Oryzias latipes: one gene and its partner. The protein of the gene in region 1 purifies or fractionates together with the protein of each later gene. This does not show direct contact. Links are inferred from orthologs where the notes say so. Each region holds a gene or a part of one and is shown on either strand. Other genes may lie near its edges. The genes, in order: polr3k and protein POLR1D.

Region 1 (10,744 bases):
CTTTGCAAGACTTAAACATGAAGGATTAAAGCAAACATTTACCGCTTACCCTTCTGGTCAAATCTGACACATTTGACAGTTGAAGTGCTCTTAAATCGTTTTTGGAGTTCAGCCTGCCTCTCTCTGAGTTGTTTCAGTTCATTTTCAATAATGTTGATCTGCTGCAGTTTGGCGTATGCTTCCTCTGAGAGTACACAAAGCAGAGGAGGTCATACATTTGACAAAAACGTTTCATCACATCAAGAAATGCTATTTGTTTCTTTCAAGCCACCTGTTTGGCCAAGGTTTGTGCGATTCCTTATCTCCTGAAAAATGCACATAATGTTCCTCCTTTCCTGAAGTGTTTGAATCTTTAAAGAAATATCTTTCAACTCCATGGAAATTTTAGTGGCCTCGCTGTTGGTGGAATTCATGGTGACACCTATGTGGAAAAGATGGGCAGAGAAAAGCAGACGGACGTTAGTTTTCCTTCCATTTGTCCATCTTTTGAACCTGCTGAATCCGTTTTGTGGTCACAGGGTTGCTGAAGCCACAGTTGGGCCAAAGCGGGGTACACCCTGAACAGGTCGCCCGCCTGCTGCAAGGCCACACACACACTCACATTCACACCACACCTGCCTGATTTAGAGACATCACTGAACTTATGAAGCATGTTTTTAGACTGTGGGAAAAGATGGAGAGCACAGAACCAGGGCCTTTTCACACTGAGGCAAGAGCGCTGTGTTTGTTTTCCAATTTTTAAGACGTTATTATAGTTTTTAATGCTGTTTGACTCTCAAAATACTCCATTATACTATAACCATTTTATTACATGATTTATCAATATCCGGTTCCTAGTTTTTAATCAGACAGAATTAAAAATCATATGGTATCGATAAAGCACATGACAAAGATGAATTACTTAATTATTATGTAAAAATAACTATTTTAGAAATCAACATGGCAAATGCAGATCAGTCATCTAAAATATATGCAGATTATTTTACTTATAAAAGTCATTCATATAATTAAAACATAATACTATATCAGTAAAATAGACACAACACTGTTTCAGGAATTTTCATAGCAAAATTTCATCAAGTATCAAAAGTTAAAAACATGTGCAAAATTATGTTACATTAGGAAAGATTTTTGAATCAATTTATGAATTTTTGGAGCAAATGAAGTAATATCATTAAACATCGATCAATTTAACCATTTTCAATTAGTGATTAATCATTTGTTTTACTTTTTCATATATATTTTTTTTGTATTTTTATTTATTTTATAATAAAGTAATGCTGTAAGGGAAAATCTTAACACTTTAATAGCAAAGGATTTTTTTTACCCATTGTCAATGCATCTATTGATATTTACAGATTCTAAATTGTTGTTTGTGGAGCAATTTTGAATGTTCTTTGTATCAAAAAACCCAAATACAAAAGGTGGACATTTTTTAATGTCCGGTGAGGCAAAAGGTATTTGTCTGTCACAGATTCCACAAGTTCTTTCTTTCAAAAACATGAGTTTTTTCATGTTCACCACAGATACACTTCAACTCTGACAGAGTGTAAAAATAAAACCCAGGAATCACATTAAATGATTTTAAATAAAATATTTGGATAATAGTTCAAAAAGTGAGACTTTTGGTACAAACAAGCAAGAATTCTTTCCTTCAGACCTGTTAATTTTTCTTTGAGAAGCTTTTCTTTTCTCTACTTGTTACCTGTAATAATGTCACATATTTAACCCTTGTGCTATCTTAGATGACCCCACCCTTACATTGACGTGTTCTCCCTACCATGACAAAGGTGGATAAAGGTGGAAAGATTTCATGTAATCCATGGACACCAGAGAAGATCACAAATCTTGAAGAAAAAAGGTTCAGAGCACTGTCTAGTGGGTCTAGATGACCCAACTCCCAACGTTAAAGTGCCCAGGATCGCACAAGGGTTACGAAAAGGATGAATGGGGCCGTGTATGGTGAGATATTGGGAAAAATAACATGTTTCCTTATTGACATCATAGAGGGATTAAACGTGTCTGGATTTTCAACTCGACAATGATCCCAGACACATCACCTGGGCAACAAAGGAGTGGCTACGTAAAAAAAAGGAAACCTTTCAAGGTTCTGGAGTAACCTAGTCCATTTCCGGATCTCAATCTAATAGATAATCTGGAGAGGGAATTGAAAGTTTGTGTTTCCCAGTGACACCCTCAAAATATCACAGCTCTTAGAAGGTCTGTACAGAAGAATGGGCCAAAATAGCAGCTATGCTGTGTCTAAACCGGATAAAGGCCTACAGGAGACCTTTGACCTCTGTCTCTGAGATCAAGGTAACTTTTCTATTAAATTTTATTTATATAGCCCAGTATTACAACAATAGTTGTGCCAAAGAGCTTCATACAAGAACATAAAATCAGTCATAAAATGCTAAACTAAACTAAACAGTCTAATCTAAACTGGGCATTCCTGCCCTTAGACCCTTTTGTTTTGACCAAATACTCATATACAAACAAATGTTTAAAAAATGTTTAAAAATCATACAGTGTGATTTCCTGAAATCTTCACTCTTATATTCTAGTCTGTCTCTAACAGTTGAAGTGTATCTGTGATGAAATTATCTCGTCTTTAGGTGGAAAACTTGCAGAATCTGTGATCCAAAATTAAGAATAAAAATCAGAAGTAAAGTGATTGATAATTACTTAGAGGTCAAAACATACATATTTTGAAAGAAATTAATAAGTATGTGGGGCACAGAGAATATGGTTGGTAAAAAAAAAAAAAACTTCTTAGTTTCTATTATTTTGGTTGGGTAAAATTACATTTTTAAAATGTTTTGAAATAAATCCATGTTAGGATACATTTGGCACACTAATATGTTAACAAAGCTGTCTTATAATCGTGAATATAGTTTTGTTTTGCCTTACCTGTTCTGCTGCACCTGATTCATCGTCCTCATAGAGCATTAGATAGAAGCCGGACAACAGAACACTGTTCCTTTCCTCCAACTAATTATTCAAAATATTCAAATAGTTCAGCTACGTTTACAATTACCCACTGTGAACATTTACACTGAATCCTCGAGGGACAAAATGCAAACCCAGATAAATGATATGCTATTTATTGACATATTTCATATCTATCCATTTAAAACAAAACATTTAAAAAAAAAAAAGGTTTTACATTTGAGCCTTTTAAAAGAAGAAACAGTTCCAAACAAGTAATTACAAGTAGATTTTACTTTAAGAGATGTTCAAAACAAGTATTATATATCTTAAAGTTATGGTTTATTTTAAAAACAAGTTTAATTATGTTGGGAAAACTTCTTTCTTCTGAATTGGCAAATGGATGAGTCACTTCTTCCTGAGTTTCTTCATAAACATCACTTCATCTCTGTTTCTAATGCCGTAACTGAAAACAAATAAGCATTTGAATGCAGGAGTCAGAGGACATTTTAATATTATGTCAGTTGCACACAGTATAAACCAGACTTCATTGATACCCACTCTTTGAGCCTAATTGAGTCATCTTCAAGCTTTTCCCCCTGAAATACCAGATAATACGTCCTCCAAACATATCTCCTGGAGAAGAAAGGAGGAAAAACAAAGTGAAGATTTGGACACAACTGCTCTGTTATCGTGTTTACCAAAATTCTTACCAGCTGACATGTTTCACTCCACCTTCTCGTTGCTGTTTAAGCTCCATGAATCTGCGAATGGCCTTCTTAAGATCAAGAACTGTGGCGTTTTGCACCACCACTATAGCTAAATATGAAAAAAAAAAAATGTTACTACTGTGTATAGTAAAAAAAATGTGCAAAACATATTTAAAATCATTTGAAAGCTAAGAAAAATCCACATGCAAATATACATGGTCTGTCCAAAATTAAAAGTTGGATTTAAATATGCAAATTTGGACGCGCCTCCCATTGGATAAATATTGCATGGGCGACTGTCTGCTTGGGCGATGGGGTGATTGTCTGTCAACGGGTAACAGGTTTTATAATCCCAACTGATGCAATGAGTTGATTCCCTCTTTTTAAACCACCAAGTCAATAAACACATCCTGTGGGAGAGATGTTAGTTTGTTGGTGACGGGTCAAATCACTGGCGGTAAATTAAACATCAAAAGAAACTGCAGAGAGGGCGAACGGGTTAAGAACTGTCCAACACATTATGAAAAACTGGAGGGATAATGCGGGACACAAGAGCTGTGCACCCTTAAAAAAAAACCCACTGACCATTAAGGCCAACCAGAAAAAAAACGTTTGTCAGGGAACATTTAGATTGGACTCCAGAGCGATAGAAGAAGGTTATGAGGTCTGATGAGTCAGGCAGTGAACACAGACATAGTCATACAAACACAATATAGACACATACTAATTATACAAATCAGCTGGGAGACTTTGGAACTTACGCATGATTTCCCCATCTGCCTTAACAACCTTCACAGTCATTGCTTGCCCATACTCCAATGCAATCTGGGAGTTTACTTCTTCCAAAGTCACCTGAACACAAAAATATTGCAGATTGTGGATTCTCATCCTTCTAACACAGTAGAGGGTAAAAAAAAAAAAAATCAGTCAAATGGACTTGGTTAATCCTTTATAACTGCAGACATTTCATGTTTTCTCAAAGACAAATTTGCAAATACGAAAGATAAACCAGTTGTAAATAACAGATTTCTTTCTGGGCTTAATAATAAATGAGATTAAAAAAAAACAAATGTGATTATTGTATAATAGTCCAATGTTACAAGAGCAATACTGACAATACTAATGTTATGGATTATAACCTGTGTTTTTGTTATTTTTATTATGCATGTTTGGTACTTAATTCTAGATTAGAACATTTATTTCATTGCTATTCGTATATAATTCTTAAATCGTATAAACAGTTTCAAGAAGAAAAAGGAGAGAAAACATAAATTAGAGCTATAAGATTGTTTTGAAATTGGATTCGATTTGGCTTTTCAAGAATATATATGCAGCTATTTTCTGCTATGCAAATATGCCGTCAGACAAACCGGAAGAAGGACGCGTTTCAACTTTAGTGTTAAATTTACAATTTATGAAAATTTTCTTTAAACATCTGCCTGGTGTGCGGAGTGTGGTGTTTTTCTATGACCTGGATCGGCAGATCACACAGTAAAGGGTCCTGCACAAGTCGAGCAAGTCCCTCTTCGAAGATATCAAGGATCTCTGAATGTGGAAGAGACTCCTCATCTTCCTCCTCGGCATCTGGAGCTGTCTCATCAGCCAGCTTCTCCTCTTTCACCTCACTGTGACTGTGACTGTCCTGCAAACGATTCTCTCCTTCGTCGGTTTCCTGCTCCATCATCTATTATTGGTTAAAAATAAATACATTCAGTAAAAATGAAACCGCTTTCTCTTTTTTGACGCGTTCAATTAAGTACAAAAGATTCTTAAAATAATAATAATAGGATACTGTTTACAAAAATGTATCCCAAGACTGGTGTGAATTTTAATGCTGTGTGTCGCAGACCTTATACCGGTGGTATCATCAAAACATGATAAATAGTTCCGCTTATCAAAAGTAAGAACTTTTTTTCATGCGGCGGATGGTGGGGTTTTAAAATAATTATATTATTTATAATGTTATACATATATTTATACATTTATATACATTCTTTAACAATAACAATTTCATTTTTAACAAACGTTTTTTTTTTTTTTGTTTCCTACCGAGCTGTAAAACCGGAGCAACTGCTTCCGCTTTGCTTCTCCTTGCTAATGAATTTCGTAGTCGCTACTATCTTTCCCGAGATAGTTTTTCTTTAAATAATCTGGTAATATGCTTCTTTTTTGTCCTACTTGTGGAAACGTTTTAATCGTAGAAGAAGGACAGAAATGCTTGAGATTCGCTTGTAACACTTGTCCCTATGTGCACAACGTCACGAGAAAGGTACGCTCCTTTTATCACTGTCTGACTCTGACTCGAGAAACAAACACGACATTTCTTAGGGTGGTTTTTAATCTCAAACTTTTCAATATTTGTAGGTAAACTACCGAAAATATCCCAAGCTGAAAGAGGTGGATGATGTGCTGGGTGGAGCTGCAGCGTGGGAGAACGTGGATTCTACTGCAGGTAACAAACAAGTTTGTTACCAAGAATTAAAAAAAAACATGGATAGACTAGAGAATAATATAAAACAAAGGCCAAGAAAAACTAATTTGACTACTAAGACAAATATGTTCTCCATAGGAATAAATTAAAGTTTATTTGAAACAGTCCATTTGCGTGTTTAAAGGGTGTTAATAGTCACCCTTAGCTGCAAGTACACTTGAAGTTTATTTTATTAAGTGTACTTGGATGCAAGTATTGCACATATACTGCTGACCATGTAACGTGTAGGGAGTACATTAACTTAACACTTATTCTGACTAAATTGTGACATTTTATGTTTACTATATATAGACTGAACTTCAAGTACACTGCCTCACTCTAAGTATACTTGTAGTACACTTAAATGGACTACTTTTTGCTAGAGGCAGTGTTGCTGTGTGATGCTATGGCGAGTACCAACCTGAATGTGGGCCACAGAAAGAAGTTCAATCCGAGAACTAACTAAAATTCTGAACATGTGTGTACATATATGCATGTTTGCTTGTGTTTTTTCACAGAAACGTGTCCCAAATGCGAGCATCCTCGAGCCTACTTCATGCAGATCCAGACCAGATCAGCCGATGAACCAATGACGACTTTCTACAAATGCTGTAATGCTCAGTGTGGAAACAGATGGAGAGATTGAGCATTTTATTTCATTCACTCATTATTTCTAGTTTAAATGGCAATCAAAGCACATGTAAAGAATGTTTTGGACCCATTATTATTTATAAATAAAATTTGCTTTTCAGAATCAATCAACGGACAAATTCTTTATTTCAGAGCTTTTATTGATAAAATAATACCTGTGTACATCAGTCAATTCAATTGTCTTAGATGTTTGTATCTTGTTGCAGACATTGAGAGCAATGCATACCACTGGTTCCCACACGTTTATTTTCTATGCAATCCTTGAGCTCAAAATGCAATTTCTAGAGCAACTCAATCATCCTTAAGGTAAGGAAGAGAAAAAAAAATACAAATCTAGGAGCCAGCCAAAGAGAATCACTTATTTGGATGTGTAGCTCATGCAGACAAATTCTGCACCTCCAAAGCGTTGGTGAAAAATGAAATCGGACATGCTGTGACGGAACAGTGCTTTTACACTGTTAGTGGTTTATCCAATAAAAACTGTATTTTTGATATTTTTTTAGCTTAATCTGAAAAGACTGCTCAGTCAAGGCTATCGCTTCATCTAACATGCATTTATTTATGTCATAGATGACAAATGTCAAGATTAGGTGATCAATGCAATGATGGCTGCATCCCTTTCCAGCTTAAATACGGTTTACTACTTTCAAATCAGTGAGGAATCTCTACAATCTCAGTATCACAGAGATGGCATGTAGTGTTTCCACATAACCATGTCCTCGGCACACAAAGACTACTAAAATCTCTGATCAAATATGTTTTGATTAACTCCAGTTATATATTACCTCTATGCTTGAAATTATTCCACTTCTTTCAGGGAATTGATTAAAACAGGACAACCCTTTCTTCAGGAATAAAAAGGCTAAAAACATAACAAAGTGCAAATGTTGACATTACAATGAAAGCAGATCACAGACACGAGGAACTGGTGAGTAACAGTAAAACAATAAGTCAGCTCCTGATTGGAGCAAAGAAAAATCAAGTTTCTAGCAGATGTGTCAGTTTAAATTGACAGTTTTCCCACATTTGACAACTACAAATGTCAAAAACAAAATTACGCACAAATATTCATAATCCGGAAGAACACGTCTGAGCTTGAACGGATTAAACGAAAAATTAGACAACTTCACATATGAGGACAGCTTTCCTCTACACCAGGCTGCCAAGCTTTTAAAGTCCTACTATTCACATGCATCCTTAGCAGTAACAGGGATCTGTACAATTCAACTTCATGTTAATAATTTAAAATATGAAGAAATATATACAGCAAATTAGCTAATGAGAAAACTGATTACAATACAAGAGGGTTTCACAACACTATGCGAAAAAAAAAAAAAAAGTCGGCCTGTTAATATCAGCCAGGGGAGCTGCAAGTTTGTTTCTGTTTGCATGTACATGGCTCTGTGGCATCCAGCTGTTGGTGGTTAGCATATACGCTTGTATGTGTAGATGTAGCCCTTACAGTAAGGACAGGTGTGCGTCACGTCCTTCAGGTCATCAATCAGGCAGGGAATCAGGCAGCAGCCCAGGTCACACCTGCGAATGCGGAACGGGACGGTTATGCATATTTAGACTCAGACCTGTGGACGCCAGGGGCTGGCAGGAACAGAAAATGAACTCTGAGCACATTAAGCTTCCAAGTAAACAACAAAGTCCCTCAACAAGAATGTGAATTTAAACTAAAATAAGATGACATTTTCTATATTCAAAAATCTGTTCAAATGTCTAGGACAAAGAATTAATGCAAAATATACTTTTAAAAGGCTAAATGACACACTTTAGGTAGCTAAGAGCCATGAGACACATTCATTAAAACGTGGTTTAAAGAGACACCGACTTCCTGCTTTCAGATTTTGACTGCAACAATAAAAATGTAAGACAAAACATCTTTAAAAAAAATCTGATTTATTTTTATCCACTTCTTGAACTTTACTTCCCTGGCCTTATTGCAAGCCAAGGCTCCACAATTTACAAAAACCTTACATATGGACATTTCTAACTTGAAATGTATTTAAAAAACATTTTGATGTTAAATTTTACTTGTAATCATACAATGTATACAGAATTCTTTAAATTCTTTTTTTTTTACTAACATGGATTTTAATTGCAATCTATGTTCATTTCCTTTATATTGATGAACTGTCTGGTTCACATACTTTTTTTTTTTTTACTAATAATCAAGCTTAGAAGTTTCCTTTATCATTCAATAATCCTTTAATTTGATCCAAAAATTGTCTCATAAAATACTACATGTATTACATGGCACTACATGTGCTATATGTAAATAAAATCAAGAACAAAACCAGAATATTTACACTATAATTTGTATTTAACACTACTTTATCATTGTGAATAGGCCTTAAATGTGACGCTTTCAACTGAATAAAAATAATTAGCACTTGAATTAATGATAAAGCTGTTTAAACTTTGATGCTCCTTTGGTTTTCCTCATCAGAGGAAAAGTTCCGTTTCGTCACCTTTTTGACCAATTTGTATCTGCCGTTTACAACGATTACTCGTTCCAAACAAGTGCAGTTTACAAGCTCCACAGTACACTCACCCTACAAAGAAGCAGAATAGGCAGAAGAGTGTGTTCATGAGGCCAACGTCGTGGGAAATGCGGGTGACGATTGCTTGTTGGCAGTGTGGACACACAGTCTGCACCGGCGAGGTCTGGAACATTTCCCCCTGCAGTACCGTCACGGTGGTGGCTGCACCTGGTGGACCCAGGACTGTTGTTGTTTGTCCTCCCATGTGCACAAAGTGGCCGGGGCCTGGACCCATCTGACCTGGTATTGGGCTAGCGAAGTGCCCGGGAGGCAGTGGGTAGGGGCCACCTGTAAAGAATGAATCCAGAGGTGTAATAAAAACTGAAACTGTGTCAACGGAACAACTTTATAGAGACCACACAAAAACACAACTTTGATTTAAGTCCTGCAATAAACTTGACTACAAGGATGGAGCACAATGAACAGATATAAAATCAGTAAAAGTGAATAAAAAAGATTGAATCAAATGAGTAAAAACAGACGATAAGAATATCAAATAACATCAATTAAGAATTTTTCTAAATTTTAACTCAAAGCCAGAATCAAAAGGTAGTTCTTGAGCCTTCCTTTAAAAACATAAACAGTCTCTGTGGATCTCTGGGTGGCTTTTCTACAGTTCCATAATGACTGAATGAGGCTTCCTCATATGTTTTAACTTAAAACCTTTGGAATAACTAACAGACCTGTACCTGAGGAGCTCAGGCTCGGCAAGGGCTCAAACTTTAAAATCAGATCAGATAAATATGACGGCCCAATGCCAAGCTGAAAAATCATATTTCATGAGATTTAGCAATAGAAGTACAACTATAAATATTTCATTTGAAATTGATGGTAGAACAATCAAGGGTTCTGTCATTGGCTGCAAACATGAAACATTTGAAGCAGTGGTGGAGAGGAGCTTTTATCCATTATGGACAGCCCAGACCATCCTCTCCACCCTGTTCTGGACAAACAGCGGAGCTCCTTCTTTAAGAGGCGCAGACAGCTCCGCTCCAACACTGTCCGATACTGGAAATCCTTCCTACCCAATACAATACGCTTTACAATAACTCACAGGGTAACAGATAACTTTTGCACATTTTTGCCTGCACTGTTTGTGAATATTTTTTTAATTATACCACCTTTTTTTTTTTTTTTTACAATTATTTTGTTTTTATATGATTCAATTTTCTTTTATGATTACAATGCTGCTACTGTAACGCACAAATTTCCCACTTGTGGGATCAATAAAGTACTTCTGATTCTGATAACAGGAATTAGGTCAAGTAAATGGCAACAATTCAAAACATCCACATTTTCATTGGTAAAATGTGTCACAAAAAGGGAGAACTTTAGGCCCTGAGGGAAGCGAGGCGGTATCCTAAAGAGTTAATGAAAAGCTTAAAGTAATAAAAGATTACAAGCTTGAGCTGAAAGTGTGACGTAAAAGTTTTAAG
Region 2 (11,747 bases), on another chromosome or scaffold:
GTGTTCAACTTTAATCGGGTCTTCTTGTGGAACAACTGACAAAACTGAAATTAAGATCCTGCATTAATCCAGAGCGTAGGCTGATGTAAATGTTGTAAAAAGATCTCCAAAAAGATCAATTTAATGCAGTTTAATAAGCTAGAGTTTCTTTAACAATGTTTTAAAACAGTCACAAAAGAAAACAGCACTGTGATGTTCTAACACTGTGTTGGCATGGTTTCATAAAAAATACGATCAAAAACGTTTTGTGAGATTATATTTAGTTAATATTAAGCAATGTGTGTTGTTGGGAAAATTCTAAGGCATCTTTTCAGGCAGACCTTTTATGAAAAAGCAGCAGACAGATGACAAACCCCACTAAAAAACAAACAACGGTGTGTCTGGACCACAATTTTCACCTCAGTAACCAGTAGATCCATCTGCTTCATCAATAAGGCCAAACAGAGACGACACTTTCATAGTTTAATTTTCCAACCTATTATAATCCAAATGGCAAAATTTGAACCACCAACCTCTTCACTGGGATGAAGCAGAGCAGCTCTATTTAACCTGATGAGAAAACAGTGGCCGTTTTGGCAACAGAATCCAGAAGCCTGCATGCTGAGTTCGTCTTATTGACAACCTCTCCACAATTATTTAGGAAGCTGACAGCGTTATCCTGTGGTGATCTTTTTTTTAAATATTGATACAGATGGGGTGCCAGGTGGAGAGCTTTTCAGATTAGGTCTTTGATTCAGACAGGAGAACAGTCCAAGTAGCACTTCTGTCAAATGCAGAACTGTGGGAAAACTGGCAGTGACTCAGCAGAGCACAGACGAGAATGTGGACGGAGGAGGTATGCAGACATAAGAAACGTGTTGCACCCAACCTGAAGGAGGAGGGCTCTACTTGCCAAAATAAAAGCATATCAACAACATGAATTGAAAATAGACAGAATTAGGCAAAAATGGGCAAAAAACAATCATTATCCGTGCAACACGAGCAATAACAAGGAGGTCCGCATTGACCTTATCGTAGAACGTCCGTTTTTTAATCTAAAACTCAGTCTTTAATCTTTGGTATTAACATTGTGGACTGACAATGTCACACAGGGACAGCAGACGCCTGGCTCCTGGTGGTGCCTTAAACCTGCAGGGGTGGAGAACCCAGGCGGTCTCAAGGTTTTTAATCTTTTCCAAAGAGCATCATCTTAGTCCTTGCCGTGACTGTAGTTGATCTATCCTACGTCATGTCCTTGTCTTCTCAACACACGACGAACTATGCAACCTTTGCTAAACCTTATTATTTTACTTGTTGGTGAATTATTTAATACTTTTTTTCTCACTTTCATGTGCCAGTTTCCTAATTAGAGCTAATCACATTTATAGAGCAAAAGCAGTGCAGCTTCCCCCCCCCAAGACTTTTAATGCAAACAGATCAAAGAAAAAGCCCTAAAAGAGAAGCATCGAATGATATCAGCATGGATAGCAAGCTAAGCTTATTAAAGGAATCATCCCCCTCTTAAGTGAGGAGTTAGGTGGTACGCTGAAAAGCCGACAAAACACAGATGGTCAAAGCAACAGACTCCACCTGAAACCTGGTCCCAGTTCTGTACCATTGATTGTAAAAATAAAAACAAACATCCTGTGCCTGAAGTTTGCTCTGATTTAAACTCAGCTGCAGGATTTACACAACTTCTACCCACAGGTTGACCTCTGCTTCTCATGGCACGCTTAATGTACACACACGCCGGAGAGCAGGGAACTTAACAAAGAAGAAGCCGATCCTGCTAACATCTACACACCCAACCTCACTCACCACAAGCCAGGGTTGCCCTTGGCTGTCTCACAGAAGAAGTGGTTGAAAAGATCTCTGGTGTTGAAGTTGCCCAGCATGATGGTGGAATGAGAACATGAAGCTCCTGGTCAGCCAACTCATGACTGCAGCAGGGAGCCTTTAATCCGGTCACATGACCCACAGTTTAATAATCCCCTATGGTCTCACAGCACCTGGTCCAAATGGGCCAAAAGCCAGAACGTGTGAACAAGTGAGGGGGGGCCGTCAAAGATGAACAACAGTGTATAAGTGTATTTATTTCTAAATAAATTTGGGATTTATGCACAAAATGAATTAACTGGTTTGCAGATGTTTATGGCATCAGATGTAAAGCTGCAGAAACTCTTTAAAGCAAGTACAGTCGTTAAAGACACACTGATTAAATTAATTTTTGGTGTTTTTGCTGGATTTTTCTGACTGCAAGACTTATATAAAAGAAATAAGACTAAAATTGCATTTCTGAGTGTTTCTTTATTCAAATTGTTATAAATCAGGAGCAGAAGCAAAAAGGCAGTTGGAAAAAGCTTGTACAGGTGTCATGCAGAGGCTACTACAGCACGCCACTCCATCCTAGTGCATCCGCTAATAGACGACTAGAGAACGTGTAAACAGATGGATGATGGGAAGTAGGGGCAGGCTTAGTCCGCACCAACGGTCCCGTCCACAACTCAGAGGCAAATTTTTGATGAACTACTGCCACTCTGCAGAAATTAGGTCCTAGAAAACGACACAGGTTTTGATTTTGGCTAATAACAGCATAATCATAATTACACGACCACCAGGAATGCTTTTGAAATAGATCAAAATAGGATTGGCAAGGGAGATTAAGCCCTAGCATGTATGGTGTTAACTTATTTACAGATCTGTTCTCTGTGCGCATACTTTTTTTTTTTTTTTTACCTGTGTTTGAGATGTGCCTCCAGGTCACAGCGGGGCATGCTGAGCGAGCAGACAGGACTCAAAGGGCAGGAAACGGAGAGCTTGTCTAGCAGCTTGTGCACCAGGATGCTGGATCTGCGGCACGCCTGCAGCTGCAGCCGCGTCCTGTCAAGAGGGCAGAAGTCCCTCTCCTGGAGGAAGCTGCGCAGGCAGCGGGCGCAGAAGGTGTGCCCGCACGGCGTGTCCAGAGGCTGCACCAGCGGTTGCAGGCAGATGTGGCACACCAGGTCGTCGTCCACCTCCAGCCGGTAGTTGTAGAGATGGTTTTCCCAGGTTCGGTGGATCTGACCACACTCTGGACAAAGAGTCTCGGGAGTTGGCTCCGTTGGCCGTGTGACGTCCACCTCGCAGCCTGGGCTGCCCATTTTTCTCCTTCAGCACAGCTCAGATTTTGGCACAAATGACTCCAGTTGTGTGGAGGGCAAGGGTTACGCACTTCTCTATCCCATAAGCTTCACGGGCTGAACAGGTTGCAGAGGACAAAGCCCCCCAGTGGCTGATAACGCATCTCCCTGGAGGTCAGAGGGCACAGTGCAATAGTTTAACAGATGTTTCAGAAAAATCAAAACAAGTGTCTTCTGTGGTCGTGCACGCAATCATTTGGCAAATGCTTCATGCACGTGTGCCCATGGGTTTGCATGACACCGATGGCAGCAATGTGTGTTTATAGTACTGTGGCTGTGCCATGTGGATGTCAGTGACTGTGCTGAGATTATGTATTGCTGCTCCTGTCTGCTAATCTGACAGTATAATCTCTCTTTTACTCTCGCCTACTCCAATCTTCCAATTCCGCAGAGAGGGAATTATCTGGGATTGATGTAGGGAGAGGATACAGATGAGAGAAAGTGGGATAGGAGAAGCCACAGACAGGAAAGAAGAGGGAGAAGAAAAAAGTAGAATAAGATGCAAGGGAGAAAGATTTGGACCTGATGCAGAAAAAAAACACAAAGTAGAGCAGGAATAAAGAAAGAGAAGATACATTTGAAAAAAAATGAGAGAGATAAAATCTGGGACAGGAATGTAATTTAAATAGTCCAAAAAATACTGTGAAACCTTTAAACCCTTGATATTTTTGGCCACGTGTGGAGGATGCTGCCCTCCTCTGCAACAGAAACGGAACATGCCTAAAGCAAAATTGTGAAAAATAGCACTCCAGCAAGCAGAGCGTGTCTTCAGAGTTAATGTGGTGTAATGTGTTTGCTTATTGTTTCCACAGAGTTTCACATCCAACGCCTTTCAGATCTTCATCAGCATCATTCGCCCCTCTGGAACTGATGCTGTTAGCGGACAGCAGAGGGCGTGCCTCTCCCCACAGCGGGCCAGCCAAGCCACAGTGACTACCTGCCTCTGTTCCAGCAAGGGTCTGCTCCTGTCTCCATGACGACCTGGATCCTGTTCTGTTCAGTGTGGTTTGACATTCACAGTGTAGCCAGAAAAGGATGCAGAGGAGGTGCACAACAGATGCACTTCTCCCAGCAGGACTCTGTGCTCCTCCACAGCAGAAGCTGAAAGCTTGTCAGACAATGATATATGAGTCCAATTTGTTGATTTTTTCCCCCCTTTTTTGTGTTTTTCTTTTTTTCAATCTCATCTGTGTAGTTATCCAGTTCTGATGCAACCTGTCTCCTCTGTCTCCTTAGCTACCAGGCCGGTAGTCACAGATTTCTGCCTCCTTCAAGTGCGTGCTCCTGTCTGTGTCTGACTGGCTGCTTCTGTCCCTATCCTGCAGCTGGACATGAATTTAACATGAGGACACAAGGCTTCTCTGTCTCTGTAACAAAGCTGTGACATCACCACATCACACACAGACTTGTAGACATGCACAAGCAAGAGCAAACAGAAACACACAAGGGCTTTTTTTAGGCAGAAGCCCCTGAAATCTCCTCATCAATAAATAACGCCTTCCGGTTTTAACAGTAAATGCATTTTTGAGTCAGGAAGCAGTTGAAAAACAATCTATTTTAGACAAAAGCCACGCTGGGCTGATTTTTTTTAATAAGTGAAGGCTTGCAGATGCGTGTGACACGTTCTTAATCCTTCTTGTCTGAGTTCAAAGCTGTACTTGCTCATCTTTTTATATTAGGATACCGGTCCTGCACTTGCTCTCATTTTCCCACAGATTACTATCTAATCTTGGGAGAACTAGGCAGCGGCATGCAGGAGTTTCCTTTTTAGAAGATCAAAAGACTCTATGGCACTCATTTAAAAACTCAGGTGTATCAGGCACCCAGGTATCAGATATTTTACAAAAACCTCATTTGGATGTCTTTCATCCTACAAATACTAAACACACAAAGACAGCACGAGAACTGATGTGAACATTATTATATATTTATTTTTTGCATGCATTAGTAATAATACAAAAACTGAGCCTGCTGTAAATTACATTTTCAATTATTATTGTCAATTTTCTGCATTTACCTTAATAACGCCCCATCTGCAAAGCAATTACTAAAATATATATATATATATATTTTTGATACCATCAATGTTTAGATAAGCCCTCCCCCCATCTCTCAAACCCCCCGTTCACTGTCTGAGTCCAACCCCCCCTAGGAGCGAAAAGGGAGGACAGAAGAGGCGACAATGGTAATAACAGAAAAAGCCAGCATCACACACACTGACGCCGCTTACAGTGAAAGGATGCAGATGTGATGTTACCTCTTCAGGCTGCTCCTCTGCGCCGCGCCCGGGCCTCGAAGAGGGGCGGGGGTGGCGGGACAATTAGCAGCTGCGGGACCTCAGTCACGCAGTCGCCGCAACGGACGGCCCGTTCCGCAAACCTGCACGAAAACGCCCCCGTCACTTTGGTGCCTGGTCCCGCCCACTGCTGTCCGTCAAAGAGACTGGGCGGAGTTTGCCGCTGTCAATCCACAAAAAAAAGAAAAAAAAAGTAGAGGTGGCTTCAATGTCGCCTGCCCAAAAACGTCCATTCAGCGGGAATTAAAATCTTTTAATATGTTTATGATTCCGATATGTTAGAGGTAATAACATAAACGGATAAAGCTTCGGGATCATACAGGGCATGGAATATTTTTTGTTTTTCAATGTGACAATTACAACTATTATTTTAGTAACTAAATTACTTTAGAATAAATGTTTGGGTTCTAAAAACGGCGTGAATTTTACAAAAATGCATTATTTATTTAAAAAAAAATGTTATGGTTTAACAATATAAAACAATGAAATGATCAGGCATCTTTTGGTCATAAAATCAGGTCCTCGAAAGAAGGACCTCGCAGAGGTAAATAAATCCCCTAACATGAGCCTGTAGAAATTTCCTGAAATAATTCTGCGTTTTAAAGTCTTTAGGTGGTCAGGCATAATGGCTGAAGATAATGAATTGGAAAAGTAAGTATTTTTTATTTTTAGATTATCATCGATTAACTTGTTTACGTTTGCTCGGTTAAACTAATACATCGGGGGAATGGTGTCTGGTACCACCAGATTAGGCTAGCATGTTTGCATAATGCATTTCTGTAGCTATGGGGTTATTTTGGTTAGGGGACGGAGTGTATCTTGTGTAGCAGTCAACACACTCTGCCTTTTGGCAATCAACAGCTGTTCTCACTACGTGCTATAAGATCGGCTGAATCAGAGAGAGCCCCCTGCGAGACTAATGCCTCAGCTGGTCGGGTTAAACGGGGACACCGCTGATGTCCCAATTACTTATGATTCACTTCCTCCGCGTCTCCTATTTTCTTCCTCGCTCGCACATAATTATATTAGTCTCCCCTTGAGCTTTTATGTCATCTTGGTCTTCTGTTGTTATCCGCATTTTTCTACGTCTTTTCCTCCAGACGGGCTATAGAGGAACTCCTCAAGGAGACAGACAGAGCCAGGGTGAGAGCTGAGACCATGGGCCCTGCAGGATGGTGAGTTATGGTTCTGAAATGTCATCCCTGACAGCCTCCACATAAAACGCCATGTAAAATCTTACTTCATAGGTTTAGCTGTTTTTTTTGGAGGCTTCTATTATTGTTGTATTTGTGTTTAACTAGTTTTCTATTATAGATAATTCGTCAGGTTCCCAAAGACACTTGTCTCTCTTGGCATCTAAAAGCACACACATATAGACTAAATTTATTATTAATATTTATTTATTGATTGTGTGTCTGTAGTGATTCTATGTCTAAAAAAAACGGTATAACCCTGTGAACTTTCCTGGAATTGAAAATATGCTTTCAGACATTTTTATTTTCTGGGCTGACGCTGATTTATCAAAACTATTTTTTTCTTCTTGATTTATTTCAGATGTGAGAGGTCAAAGCTAATGTTCTGAAGCTGTCATTCACTCGTCATTTAATGCAGTTACAAAAGTCACTTGAAAGGAGGGGACAAAAGGCAAATAAAATTTTTTTTTAAAAGACTGTCCATAATTATAATGTTACCTAACTTAAACTTTTCACATTTTTTTGTCTATCCCAAACATTTACATGACAACGTTCTCTGAAGTCTGCAAGGCTTGTCTTTTGTGTAACAATTACAGTTTGAGTTTTTTCACACTGTGTCGCATTTACAATCATAGATTTATCTTGGTAACCAATATTTGTTGACTGATCTGTATTAATTAGATCGACAAATGTTTGCAAGTATATTGTTGCACAATGATTTCTTTTGCATGAAATTATTTATTGACCTATTCACTTTTTGTGTATTTGATCTGTTTGATGGTTAATGGGTTTCTCTTTGGATCTCCCTTCATTGAGTCTCTTGAAATGATAAGATTTATTTGTGTATGTTTAACAGATCTTAAACAAATTTAGAAGGACTTTATTCTTTTTTGTGGGTTTCTAATGAAGAGGTTTATGTTATTTTGTTTTTTAGGTCTGGTCCAAAAAAACTACAGAATATTAAAAAAAAGTTGGTTTATGTAATTTCCAGAAAACTTGCACCTCTTATCACACTATTTAGTAGTAAATTAAAGAATGACCCAGTATTTTTAAGTGTTAGAAAACATGGAAAAACAGCACAATACCATAATGTTTTATTTTCATGTGGGAACCTAACAAAAAGTGAAATTATACAAAAAGCAGTAAGGTGAGCATCTAACTCCCAACTTAAAGCAAAGTCATGCCCTTAATAGTTGTCCTATAATTTAAATTGTACTCTGGAGACAATTTGTCCTTTAATGGAAACGACTATACATCTGTCAGATATACTGATCAGATAACTGTCGCTTTTCACATTAGACTTTAGATTAAAAAAAAAACCTTAATTCTGAATTTTTAAGTGGTTGTGTTGTCTTCTTCTCTGTCAGGTTGAAATGTCCCCTGCAGAGCACCAACAAACGCTTTCTCCTCAACACTCTGCGCTCTACCGGCCTGCAGCGGCGAAACGATGAGCAGAGAACCGCAGACTCCAAAACAAGAGACCGCCTGACCCACAAGTCCCGTGACAGACGGTGTGACCGCAGCAGAACACCTCCGACAGACCACAGGAGTAATGGACGCCACAAAGACCATAAACATCACACCCGTTCAAACCGAGATAAGGAACTGGACAAAGATAAGAACAAATCTGACAGACACGGGGACAACAGCAGAGACAGGAAGCATGCCGATGGACCAAACGGAGACAGAAAAAGAAGTTCTTCATGAATGAACTTGCTGTGTTTTAAAGGTAGCCTTGATGCTCTACTGAAAAATTAATTGGCTGGAGGAGTATGGCTGACTTGAAATAGTTCTGTAGAGCCCTCTCACCCTCACAGAGACCCAGACAGACTAGAAGGACCTCTGCTGATCACAACGAATTGTACAGTGACAGAATATACAATTTGTATTACAGCTTTTGAATGAATGAATGAAGAGAGTAAAAGGAAATAAATATTTTGTGTTTTCAGGCATGAATAATTGATCCTCTTACAGTTCTAACATGAATCTTTATGCACCAGAACGAAACATCAAATATACTTTTTAGGATATAATCTAAAAATCATATCAAAGCTAATATTTGTTTTATCATGTTCCACTTTGTAAAGGTGGCTGTAGCTCCATTATAATGTCATTAACCATTCTTTTGTGGTTATCCACCACTGGTGTTTATATAAGCCATGCTGCTGTCGCCAAAGAGTAAACAAATTTTATATCCTGTCTAATGTTTTGAAATGTGCACAGCAGCTATCAGAACCGCTCTTGTTTTTCAAAGGAGAAAAGTGGTTTCCTTACACTCCCAGTCCCCGTGAAGACACAGTACGACTGTTATAGCTATGAATAAAAAGAAAAGATGAGAATTCCATCTTCCTGGACATCTACTTTAGCCGAAGGTGATGTTGTAACTTCACTATAGCTCTTGTTTTTGAGTCATTTTCAGGTTTTATTGTTCTCAAAGCTTTTTTTTTTTAACGCCTCGATTACAACCAGTTAGACCATTTCTCCCTCTGCTCACAAAAAGGTCTATAAGTTCTCTAAAAACATTTCATAGTCATGCTTCATAAATCACGCAGTCCATCTCCACTGTAGTAGAGTCTAGTCCTGGTTAACTGTTTCCTTCCTCTTTGCAACAATGATCAAATACCATTAAGCCATATCAGGCGACTCTTTAGCGCAGAATTGGTTTGCTTGAACTTTATTGCATTGCTGAGTGCTGCATTAGGATACCATGAAAAGCGCCATCATTGCTTTTGAGGATCCAAAAAGCAAATAGTTGATAATGTTCAGCTGTAGCTAAGCTCAGGGCCTTCCTACGCTTGGATTAGGAGAAATTGTATACGTCTCAAAGTGTTGCGTAAAGTTCCAGGTGCGCTCTGGGGGATGCGCGCTCCACGTCGTTTAATTGAGTTCAGTCACGCTCTCCAACTTAATTGACACACTAGGAGAGCTGTTGTTTAATGGGGCGGACACTCACGACCGCCAGAGGCTAATGGCCAGCAAACATGGAGAGTACAGCGGGAGAGGCTGTTCGTTGTTGCTAAGGGCCCTTCGCGCGGTGACCGCCCCAAGGCGCGCAAATTTGAGTTAAATGATGCATTTCTGAAAGTGTAATGGATAGGTTTTCAGACGACAGACCCCCAAAAATAATAAAATAAAATAAATGCAGTGGAAGACATCGAGTTTCCAAGACGACTGTTTCTCCGTTCTCTTATCTGAGAGGTCAAGCAATGTTTGCGCTCATATGCATCGATTTATTAGGCGCAGCGCGCAAACAGGAGACACATCCAAATGAAATATCGATTGAAAACTATGAATGAAGAGCCATGTAAAGTGGTGCGCATGATCATTTTGTCTTTTCATGACGAAGCAGAGTTTAAACTGTACATTTGAGTCGAGACTCACGCATGTGGGAGCCATGCGGCTAAACGCAGCGTTATTTACAGAGTGGCATTGATTTATGCGCCGAAAGTCGTCCTGTTAAATTTACCGAGGGACGAAAAGCCCACAAGCTGGAGAATATCCTAGTAACTCGGCGCCTTGGTCTGCCGTCCTGAGCAAATAATGAAACCAATGGCCTGGGCGCCGCAGAGTCACATGGTGACAGAGCGACACACCTGCAGGCAGCAGACGGGGCCTCGCAGTTGCGCCACAAGCAGGTAGAGCCGAAGGTCCACACGGACGCGCAGGTGCGCTGAATGCCCCGCAGCTTCGGGTGTCCTCCAGCCATGAACCGGGAAGATCATTACTACCCCTCTCAGGTGTTCAAAGACCCCTGCGCTTACCAGAGGTCGCAGTGTGATGAGTACAGCCCACCGCCGTGCCTCTACATGAGCAGGCAGGCCCATTCCGTCTACACTCCACCAACACTGGGAGCCTTGGAGCAGGCCAGCTTACCTGACTCGGCACCGATTTACGGTTTACCCAGCATGCGGGAGGATCCAGGTGTGCCTCAGCTCCACCACCAGCAGGAACTGCAGCAGCCACCGCTCCAAGCTCTGGGATATGGAGACACGGTGGAGCAGAGCGCGTATCAGCTGCCTTTCCCCTGGATGAAAACCACCAAATCTCACTCACACACCTGGAAGGGACAGTGGGCAGGTAAAGACGTCCTTAAAAGTCAGAGAAGAGGGGATTTTATGCAATCTGGTAAATAAAACCCTTAAAATGTGGTTTTCAAGTCAGTTCTTTAATTTTTTGTGTGTTATCCTCACATTTGGAGCCCATCAATGTAATTCTGGGCTTTTGTCAGCCTGTCAAAGGCCCGGAAGACACTTTCTGAGGTCTTTTATTAGGAAAATGTGTTGTTTTTTTCATGTGAAAATGAAGTTTGACCTTATTCCAAGTCAAGCAAAGCAAGGCGCAATTATTCTCTCACATCAACAAGTCAGGGACATTTGATTGATTTGTAAAAAGGACATTTTTAGCAGCTCGATTAGTAAAACTGTAATAATTATACATTCCAAAAACAGAAATTTGTGCATTAATTCATTATTTTGGGTATATCTTATTGGAAGATTTTGAATGATCAATAGGCATTTGATTGCGTCATCTGTGATTAATCAGAACTTTTTGGTTCATTTTCTAAGATAAATTCTGGAAATGATGAGCAATCAAAAGCAATGAGACATAAATAGGATGATTCCTCAACACAAGATGCCTGCAAAGTTATATTTCAAAATAAAAATTAATTGTAAATTATGCTTATTTCTTTAGTAAATATTACAAATAACATCCAAATTTATATTAATTTTCTTTTAGATATTGAATGCATGAAAAATAAACGTTTTTGTGACGCACAGAAAAATGAGCCGTGATTGAGTCCACTTTGTAGGGCACGTGCGTTCAGTTTTTGTGAGTGGATTGATTCTGAACAGGAAAGACATAAAGAATGCTTTATGACTGATAGGATTATATATGTGTCAGATTTATTGTGTGTATTTATATATATATGGACCAGCGCCATTCTGTCCCGTAATAGAGATAAAGAGACTCTTCTTTTGATCTGGAAATCAGAAAAAACTAACTAAATTTTGAAATTTCCAAAAATGTAATTATATAGAAAATAAACATGTTTTCATTATTTGCATTGGTATAAATGAATAAAGAAAAAAATATTCAAAA

Evidence for each region.
Region 2: the proteins of polr3k (region 1) and protein POLR1D purify together in Homo sapiens (affinity purification with mass spectrometry; 3 studies listed by BioGRID and IntAct, with this or other methods). This does not show direct contact. The link is inferred for Oryzias latipes from reciprocal best matches to the Homo sapiens genes POLR3K and POLR1D.

What each region holds. Positions count from the first base shown.
Region 1 is NC_019866.2:8,134,344-8,145,087, forward strand, and holds polr3k (DNA-directed RNA polymerase III subunit RPC10), read left to right. Parts: upstream 1-5,690; 5' UTR 5,691-5,796; coding exon 5,797-5,907; intron 5,908-6,002; coding exon 6,003-6,090; intron 6,091-6,626; coding exon 6,627-6,754; 3' UTR 6,755-6,866; downstream 6,867-10,744. Other genes in the region: lipopolysaccharide-induced tumor necrosis factor-alpha factor homolog, read right to left, coding at 50-184, 272-413; snrnp25 (U11/U12 small nuclear ribonucleoprotein 25 kDa protein), read right to left, coding at 3,337-3,394, 3,490-3,564, 3,642-3,747, 4,400-4,490, 5,110-5,322; cdip1 (cell death-inducing p53-target protein 1), read right to left, coding at 8,184-8,295, 9,320-9,596. UniProt on the Homo sapiens protein: Core component of RNA polymerase III (Pol III) which synthesizes small non-coding RNAs using the four ribonucleoside triphosphates as substrates. Can mediate Pol I proofreading of the nascent RNA transcript.
Region 2 is NC_019878.2:17,472,448-17,484,194, reverse strand, and holds protein POLR1D, read left to right. Parts: upstream 1-5,940; 5' UTR 5,941-5,998; exon of another isoform or gene 5,999-6,059; 5' UTR 6,060-6,079; coding exon 6,080-6,105; intron 6,106-6,554; coding exon 6,555-6,629; intron 6,630-8,014; coding exon 8,015-8,354; 3' UTR 8,355-8,844; downstream 8,845-11,747. Other genes in the region: lnx2 (ligand of Numb protein X 2), read right to left, coding at 2,716-3,119; pdx1 (pancreas/duodenum homeobox protein 1), read left to right, coding at 10,322-10,724.